Linked DNA regions of Rattus norvegicus. The protein of the gene in region 1 interacts with the protein of each later gene in a pairwise test. Links are inferred from orthologs where the notes say so. Each region holds a gene or a part of one and is shown on either strand. Other genes may lie near its edges.

Evidence for each region.
Region 2: the proteins of Mrfap1 (region 1) and Brk1 interact in binary tests that used the Homo sapiens proteins (3 or more experiments, as listed by UniProt). The link is inferred for Rattus norvegicus from reciprocal best matches to the Homo sapiens genes MRFAP1 and BRK1.

The regions. Positions count from the first base shown.
Region 1 is NC_086032.1:78,226,062-78,229,779, forward strand, and holds Mrfap1 (MORF4 family-associated protein 1), read left to right. Parts: upstream 1-1,163; 5' UTR 1,164-1,285; coding exon 1,286-1,663; 3' UTR 1,664-1,673; intron 1,674-1,922; 3' UTR 1,923-2,941; downstream 2,942-3,718.
Region 2 is NC_086022.1:148,304,902-148,309,266, forward strand, and holds the start of Brk1 (protein BRICK1), read left to right. Parts: upstream 1-1,534; 5' UTR 1,535-1,555; coding exon 1,556-1,673; intron 1,674-4,365. UniProt on the Homo sapiens protein: Involved in regulation of actin and microtubule organization. Part of a WAVE complex that activates the Arp2/3 complex. As component of the WAVE1 complex, required for BDNF-NTRK2 endocytic trafficking and signaling from early endosomes.

The DNA.
Region 1 (3,718 bases):
CCAGCAACCACATGGTGGCTCACAACCATCTGTAATGGGATCAGATGCCCTCTTCTGGTGTGTCTGAAGACAGCTACAATGTATTTACTTATGTAGAATAAATAAATAAATAAATAAATAAATAAATAAATAAATTGAAAAAAGCCACTGAGTGTGAAGAGTCCAGTTAAAGATATGCATTTTAAATATGCCTATGGTTGGTATTTGCAAAGTGGTTTCATGACTCCTGGTTGGAAAACCAGCGAGATACATGGTTCATATTCTTGAGAAAGTGCTGTCTGATCAAGAGACTAAGAATTCGGCATCTTCCCTTAAAGTTCAGTGTTGAGTAATTGTTTGACTACGACAACTTCTGTCCTTTCCACATCAGGTGATCACCAACTGAACTTTGGGTCAGCTGGGACCTCAGAACGCATCAGACAATAGTTTCACCTCAGGAAGCCAGGAGCTCTGTCTGGTAAAAAACACCCAGGCACTCATCAATCAAGATAAGATAATTACACTTAAATTAATCAAGAGGCGGAGCTATGAGCAGTATGACTGTCCACACTGTGGATTTCCAATTTTCCTCCTTCCCAGTTTTGGAAAGCTGTTTTTTGTTATTGTTTGCTTGTTAATTTTGTTTTGTTTTGAAACAGGGTCTCACTACTGGATTTCACTATGTACACTAAAATGGCCTCAAACTCAACAATCTGCCGGCCTCTGCGTCCCAGGTGCTGGGATTGCAAGCAGGCTCGTTCTTTTACGTTTCTTCCTTCCTTTCTTTTTTTTTTAAAAGTAAATTTGTCAGACATGGGAAGGTACGGCAAGAAGATTGCTCAGAGTTCAAGATCAGTTTAAGCCAAATAATTGAGTTCCAGGACAGCCTTGCTACAACGTGAGGTCCTGTTTCAAAAGGTAAATAAATAAAATCAGAATAAGAAACAATGAGGAGTGAACTTGGCATCATTCAGAGAAGAGTGCATCACCAAGAGCTTTAGAGGTGTGACGAGCTGATGTTTGCGCGCGGCCGCGGAGGCGCTTGCTCCGCCCCTTCATGGACGTGCGCGCGCCCGCACCTCGCACCGCGGCCGTAAAGAGGGGCGCGGCTGTGTCGTGAAAGTGGTCGCAAGGCGCAGAGCTCTGGTTGACGGTTGGGACTCCATTTTGTTCGCCGCTCGTCTGCTTCGCAGCCGCTCGTCTCCGTGGCTTCTCCGAGGCAGAAAGTTGGAACAGCGGCGGAAGTTTTGAAGACTCGGCCCGAGCTCGGTCACTGAGTGTCGTGCAGACAAGCAAAGCAGCGGAGATGCGGCCCCTGGACGCAGTGGAGCTGGCGGAGCCCGAGGAGGTGGAGGTGCTGGAGCCGGAGGAGGACTTCGAGCAGTTTCTGCTGCCCGTCATCCACGAGATGCGCGAGGACATCGCGTCGCTGACGCGCGAGCGCGGACGCGCGCCCGTGCGCAACCGGGGCAAGCTGTGGGAGATGGACAATATGCTGATCCAGATCAAGACGCAGGTAGAGGCCTCTGAGGAGAGCGCTCTCAACCACCTGCAGGGCGCGGGCGGCGCCGAGCCCCGCGGCCCCAGGGCGGAGAAGGCCGACGAGAAGGCGCAGGAGATGGCGAAGATGGCCGAGATGCTGGTGCAGCTCGTGCGGCGGATAGAGAAGAGCGAGTCTTCGTGAGCCGTCCGCGGTAAGGGCGGGAGCCTGGTGGGGCGTGGGCGACTGAGGGGAGGAGGCTGGCTTGTCGCCCCGGAGTAAACTAGGCCCCTCTGGGGAAGGTGTATAGCAAATTGTCGGTGGGGAGACCCTGGAAGATTCCAGATTGTGCTGGAAAGCATGAGGCCCTGAGCAAGGCAATCTCCAGGAGGGTCCGGGTGTTTGCTCTACTGTCCTGCGTGATTAACCTTTCGGTGATGCATCTCTCCCGCCCGTGCTTTAGGTTTCCAGCCAATGGATTCTGGTTGAGTGATGGCGATTGGCTGACATGACACCCTGGAGAAGCTGAAACCAGAGAGCCTTTGTTTTCCTTTTTTCTTTCTTTATTTTTTTTTCTTTTCCCCTCTGTCTTCACTCTGTTCTCACTGACACTACGTTTCTGCTATGGTCTGCGGTTGACGACCTCGATATGAGTTTTTGATTATTCAGTGGTTCCTTTTTTTTTGTTTGTTTGGGGAAAATAACTTTGATTTGGAAAATGCGCTCACATACGGGAATTAGGGCCTAGATTGTAAGCCCTGTGGCAGTTGAATAACGTTCATTCCTGGGCTTTGGTTGTTGTTCCTGAATTTTGAGGTGCTTTGCTCTTTCTTGGGTGACCTGATAGCTCCCTGAACTTTGGGTCCCTGTGACACTTGAGACTTGGAGTTGGAGCTCACCGCCTCTGAAAGTTCTGAAGAAGCTGCGTTAATTCTAGAAGAGGACTCCATGCAGCAATGGCAGAAGAAGGGCCCAGACTTCATCTGGGACTGTGGATGGGCCTTACACGGCTAGGACTGATGACCTGGGAGAAGGGTCGGAGGATTGTATTGTTTCTATGGGGGGACTTTAATTTCTGTGTGAGACCAAAGGAGGAGAGATGTATTTTGTGCAAATTTTAAATTTTATGTGCTACACTATCTATTATAACCTGCCTGATGAGTTTGTTGGGACAGCCTAACTCATTTTTAAATGAAACGGAACCCGGTATGGGAGATGAGGTCTTGTTCGTCTGTACAAGTTGGTATCCCCATATATTTGAGGAGATCCTGGGCGTAAAATGAAAGATCCTTGCAATACCCTTTGTGTACTGAGAAGGAAAACCTGCAATGGACCCAAAACTTCAAGGAAGAGGCGTCTTCAAGGTTCATATGTAGTCAAGCTATAAATGTGTGGCAGACCTGATAAGCATTTGAGGTCAAAACCCTTACCATGTTGAAAACAAAATCTTACATGTTAATAAAAGTATCGTTTGCTTGAAAAGATAAGCCCAGAGAGTTATTAAGTCTTCATTCAGCGGCCTGTGCTTAGTTTGCATGAACGTCCTCTAGCTTTGGGAGCTCTGGGTGAGCAGAAGGGAACTTCTGGCTCTGGCTACTGTAGGATAGGAGATTCTCCATTCCTAGTAGGAAGTACGTAGTCTTAGCCTCTGAGACCAGTCCTTTAGCTTGACTCCTGCTCTTTAGCTGTCTTGCATGGAGACAGTAGTGTTGATACACCGTAGCAGGCAGCAGCCACAATGTATCGACTCCCTTCAGACTAGAAGGGCTGGGTCCCCAGCTGCTGGGATTGACCCTCTATAGGAAATACCCCTACCAAACAATGGCTTTGGCCCATCTCTTTCCTGGGTGGCCCAAGTCCAAGGCCCTCCCTTTTAAGGACATCCCAAACATCTTTGCATTCTTGTGTCTGTTGAGGGAACTGAGGCCCAGCCTAACTTCTGACTGCTCAGTGTGTTCCTTCCCAGGGGTGATCATTGAACTTCACCTGTATGGTCTTAGTGCTGCTTCCTGGAGTAACTTCTGATCTCTTAACAGACGCACTTGCCTTCGATCATGACAAGCAGGTGTAGGAGGGTTTTCCAGAGCGCTGTTTCGATAAGCTTGGCCTTGGATAAGCACAACTTCAGAAGTCAGAAAGAACGGGGTGGGCCATGCACAGGGAAGTGAGACCAAGCACTGTGGTGTGAGTTCTAGTAGTGGGGTCCAGCAGGAATGGGACTCAGGAGGTAACCAGCAAAGGGCCATGTTTGGCACATAG
Region 2 (4,365 bases), on another chromosome or scaffold:
CCAACTCCAAGAGCTCCATTCCCTTCCCAAGGTAGATGCCTAAGTTAAAATTTTTAAAAATTTTACATCTTGGCACTGGGTGGTTATGAGGTGTGCCTTTAATCCCAGCACCCTAGAAGCAGAGGCAGGTGAATCTCTGAGTTTGAGACCAGCCTGATCTACAAAGGTGTCTCAGTTAAGGTTTCCAACACTGTGAAGAGGCACCATAACAAGGAAACGCTTAGAAAGTCAAACATTGAATTGGGGCTGGCTTACAGTTTCAAAGGTTCAGTCCATTTTCATCATGGTGGAAAGCATGGTACCCAGCAGGCCAACTTGATCTAAAGGCAGTCAGGAGGTGGCTGTCTTCTGCAGACAGCCAGGAGGAGGCTCTGATTCCACACCAGCCAGACTTTGAACACTAGGAAACCTCAAAGCTCACACCCACAGTGACATGCCCACTCCAACAAGGCCACACCTCCTCACAGAGCCACTCCCCATGGGTCAAGTATTCAAACATAGGCCAAACCTATTGAAACCACCACACAAGGGTTGACTCCACCTTTGTTTAGCTTTACTGCAATTACTATAGCAGGCACTACCTCAAAGCCCAATTCTTAGGGTTAAAGTATTTCTCTCAGTCTCTTGAGTGCTGAAGTTACAAGCATGCGCGATGACCACTTCCTTTAACGATTTTCTTAATGACTCGGTGGAAAGGTTAGAGATTGCTTTTGCAGTTCTTGATAGAAATTGCTCTAGTTTACACTGAGACTTACCATTTTGCTTCAGCCTGTCCATCGCTGGGCATTAGCATTAAAAATGTAGTTTGCTCATTTGGTCAATATGGAGATTCAGAATCCGTGGGATGCCTCGATTAATAAAGACACTTGCCACCCGAAAATGGAAGGCAAGGAACCAACTCCTGAAAGTTGTCCTGTAACTTCTGCTTGCGTGTTGTGTCACATGTACGCTTACACACACGTAATATGAATAAAAATTTTAGCATGGCGGTGGTGGCCCACACCTTTACTCCCAGCACTCAGGAGGGAGAGGCAGGTGGATCTCAGAGTTCGAGACCAACCTGGTTTACAGAGTGAGTTTAGGGACAGCCAGGACTACACAGAGAGATCCTGTCTCGAAAAACAAACAACAACAATAACAATTTTAAAAGAAAACGAGAATGAGCAGAGTTGTGACCCAAGCATGAAAAGCATCTTGAACGGGATTTGTGGACTGTGGCCAAATCTGCTGACAAAGCGCAAGAAAGCTTGGAGCAACCCTAGGTGGAGGTAGGAGCGTGTGGGCGTCCCCTAACGACAAGACCCGCTAGTGATCAGCGGGTTTGTGCAGGCGGGGACAGGGTAGCTCTCAGTCTTCACAGTGCGAGTGGAGGAGCCTTGTTTTCCCCTGCGTGGGAGCCAAACTGGAACGGTGAAGACAGTTAGTCTGCGCGTGCGCGCCTCAATGCCAGGACTTTCTGGGGCTCGAACACTTGGGTGCCGGCGGCAGCGCAGGCGCGTTGGAGGCCTGTGGAGGTCGCGGCGCCTGCGCAGTCACTCTTCCTCAGGCTGCCGCCATGGCGGGACAAGAGGATCCGGTGCAGCGAGAGATTCACCAGGACTGGGCGAACCGGGAGTACATTGAGATCATCACCAGCAGCATCAAGAAAATCTCGGACTTTCTCAACTCTTTCGGTCAGCGGGCGAGCAGGGGAGGCTGGGAGGAGGGAGGCATCGGAGGCTGCCGGCGGCGCTCAGGAGAGGCGCGCCGTGCCGGCTACTCGCTTCCTCTTTCGCTCCCTGCCGGCCCCAGGACCCTCACCCTGAGCCTCACTAGGCGGTTTCCGTGGGTCTACCCTACCCATTGCCATGCCCCGCTTGCGCACGTCAGCGCGCCCGCTGCCCAGCCTCTTAGGCCCATCCATCGTCTGACTTGGTTTGCGCTGCCCTTCCTTGCCAGTCTGCACTTGGCACGCAGTGCGCAGCCGTGTCACAGTCACGAATACTGTTAAGAGACTCCTGATAGTTCTCCATCTCCTTCAGGATCAAGTCGGAAAGCCCTTAGTGCCATGCCTTCTATTGCTCCCGTTTAACCATTCCCCTGCCGTTCATTCCCCCAGCTCCCTTTGGTTCTAGTGATGAGGGTTGTAAGGGATGGGGCCCTGTCGGGTCTTGGAAATGCGTTTTGTAGCCCTGTATCTGCTTCATAGTAGGTGTTCTGGGTGCTTCTGTCTGGTTCCTCGGGTTTAACAGGGCAGATTGCTTTCAGCAGAGTCTACTTTTCCAAAAACTATTCCTAGGTGTGGCCGGCTGCTGACAGTCTTGATTTCTTTCTGCATGTGTTCCTAGCCTTCTGGACTGAAAACCTGTCACAGACTCCTTACGGTCTCCGGAAGGGTTCCTTCAGGAACTTTCTTACACAATACAAGACGTGCAGATGGCATCCAGTGATCTTTTTCAACTAGAGTACTGTGGTTCTACTAATTAGCAACTTTCAGCATCTTTGGGAGAGTGCTGTATTTTGGAAAGTAAATTAAAATGAGTCGATTATTTTCTAGCTAAAGACCTGATGAGTCCTAAGTAGTATAATGGAGGTGACAGAGCAGAATGATGTAGTTCAGGTGTTGGGCTCCTGAGTGGCAGGCACAAGACCCTCCACTCCTTAGAAAGTAAAGAGTTTTCTCTTTTTCTCCGCCCCCCCTTTTGGGTGTTGTTGTTGTTGTTGTTGTTGTTGTTTTGTTTTGTTTTTTGTTTGTTAAGAAAAGAGAACAAAAAAGAAGGCGGAAACGCATCATTAAGCGACTAGGGATTCCCTGTCTGTAGAGCAGTGGCCCTGCAGGCGCACACTGTGCCTCTAAGTAGCAGCACTCAGGAAGCAGAGGCAGGAGGAACTCAAACTCATCTGCTTTGTAGAAAGTTTGAGTCCAGCCTGGTAGAACAAAGCAAAAATCAGCAGGGGTAACTGGTCCTTACACAGGTCCTGCTGTATTTGGTGGCTCGCGCCTGTGCTCTTAGCACTTGAGAGAGGAAGGCTGGAAGAGTGTTATGCATCTGAGGCCAGCCTGGTCCTCAGAACAGCCACAAAAAAGGAACCATTTTCTGGGGCTCTAAAGATTGCTCAGCTTCCAGAGGACCCAGGTACAAATCCCAGGACCCACGCTGCAGTTCGCAACTGTCCATAACTCCAGTTCTAGGGGATATGACACAGACATATATGAAGGGAGACTATCAATGTAAAAAAAAAAAATCCATCTTCTGTATTCAAAGGCGTTCCTTCGGTTGGGGATTTAGCTCAGTGGTAGAGCGCTTGCCTAGGAAGTGCAAGGCCCTGGGTTCGGTCCCCAGCTCCGGAAAAAAAAAAACAAAAAAAAAAAACAAAGGCGTTCCTTCAGGTTGTTGAGATGGCTTGGCAGGTAAAAGCCACCAAGTCTGGCAACCTGCATACAATCGTCAGGGTCTACAAGGTGAGAGAACCAACTGCCACACGTTGTCTTCTGACCCCACAACGGTACCGTAGTACATGCTCACACCCACCTTCAAATACAGCATAAAGAAGAGATCTTAATCTGTCCATCCATCCTCCGTCTCCCCTACTCCATTTTGGTTTTGAGTCTTGGAAATTGCTAGAGCTCTAGGTTCACCGTGTTCAACTTTTTCTTCCCTTCCCCTCCTGTGATAATTAGTCTATCACTTTATGCTGGCCTGGAACTCTATTGATCAAGGATGTCCTCTAATTTGCGATGCCTCTTCTTGGCTCCGCTTCCCAGGTGCTGGGATTAGAAGTGTACTTACAAAATGTGTAGGGCTCCATGTAAGCTTACATGGATTTTCTCAACGGGGAACGGAGGTTAAAGATTAATTAGTGAGGGAGTAGCATAAATGTGTCAGTGCCATAGCCTCACACCCGTAAGTCACTGTGGAGGCTACGGTAGAGAACTGTAGTCAATAAGAGTTCACGTATCCCCAGAAGAAGCCGATTTAAGAAGTATAAGAAAAAGAATTCAACTCCGTGGGCAAGGCAGGTGGGCTCGCAGTTCAACCCTATGATGCAGATTCAAACATTTCGAGAACTGATCATTTGTCCTGCCGCCCATAGTCTAGTTTCCCTGTGGAGGTTTTCTGTTTTGGCCCAGGACCTTGTGAATGCTGGAATCAACTCCACCCTAAGTTGCACTTGCTGGGCGTGTGCTTTCTGTGTAAATGACTTCCATGTTTGGTCCACGTAGTTGATTTCTCCTACTTTGCCAGAGAACTGGAATATTTCACTTTTTTATTTAAACAGCATTCCTTATTGAAAAACATCCCCTCAAGTAAGAATCAAATGAACTGACAAACATTCCCTCAAGGAAGAATCGAATGAAAGAAATTAAAATAGCCTGATGTGGTG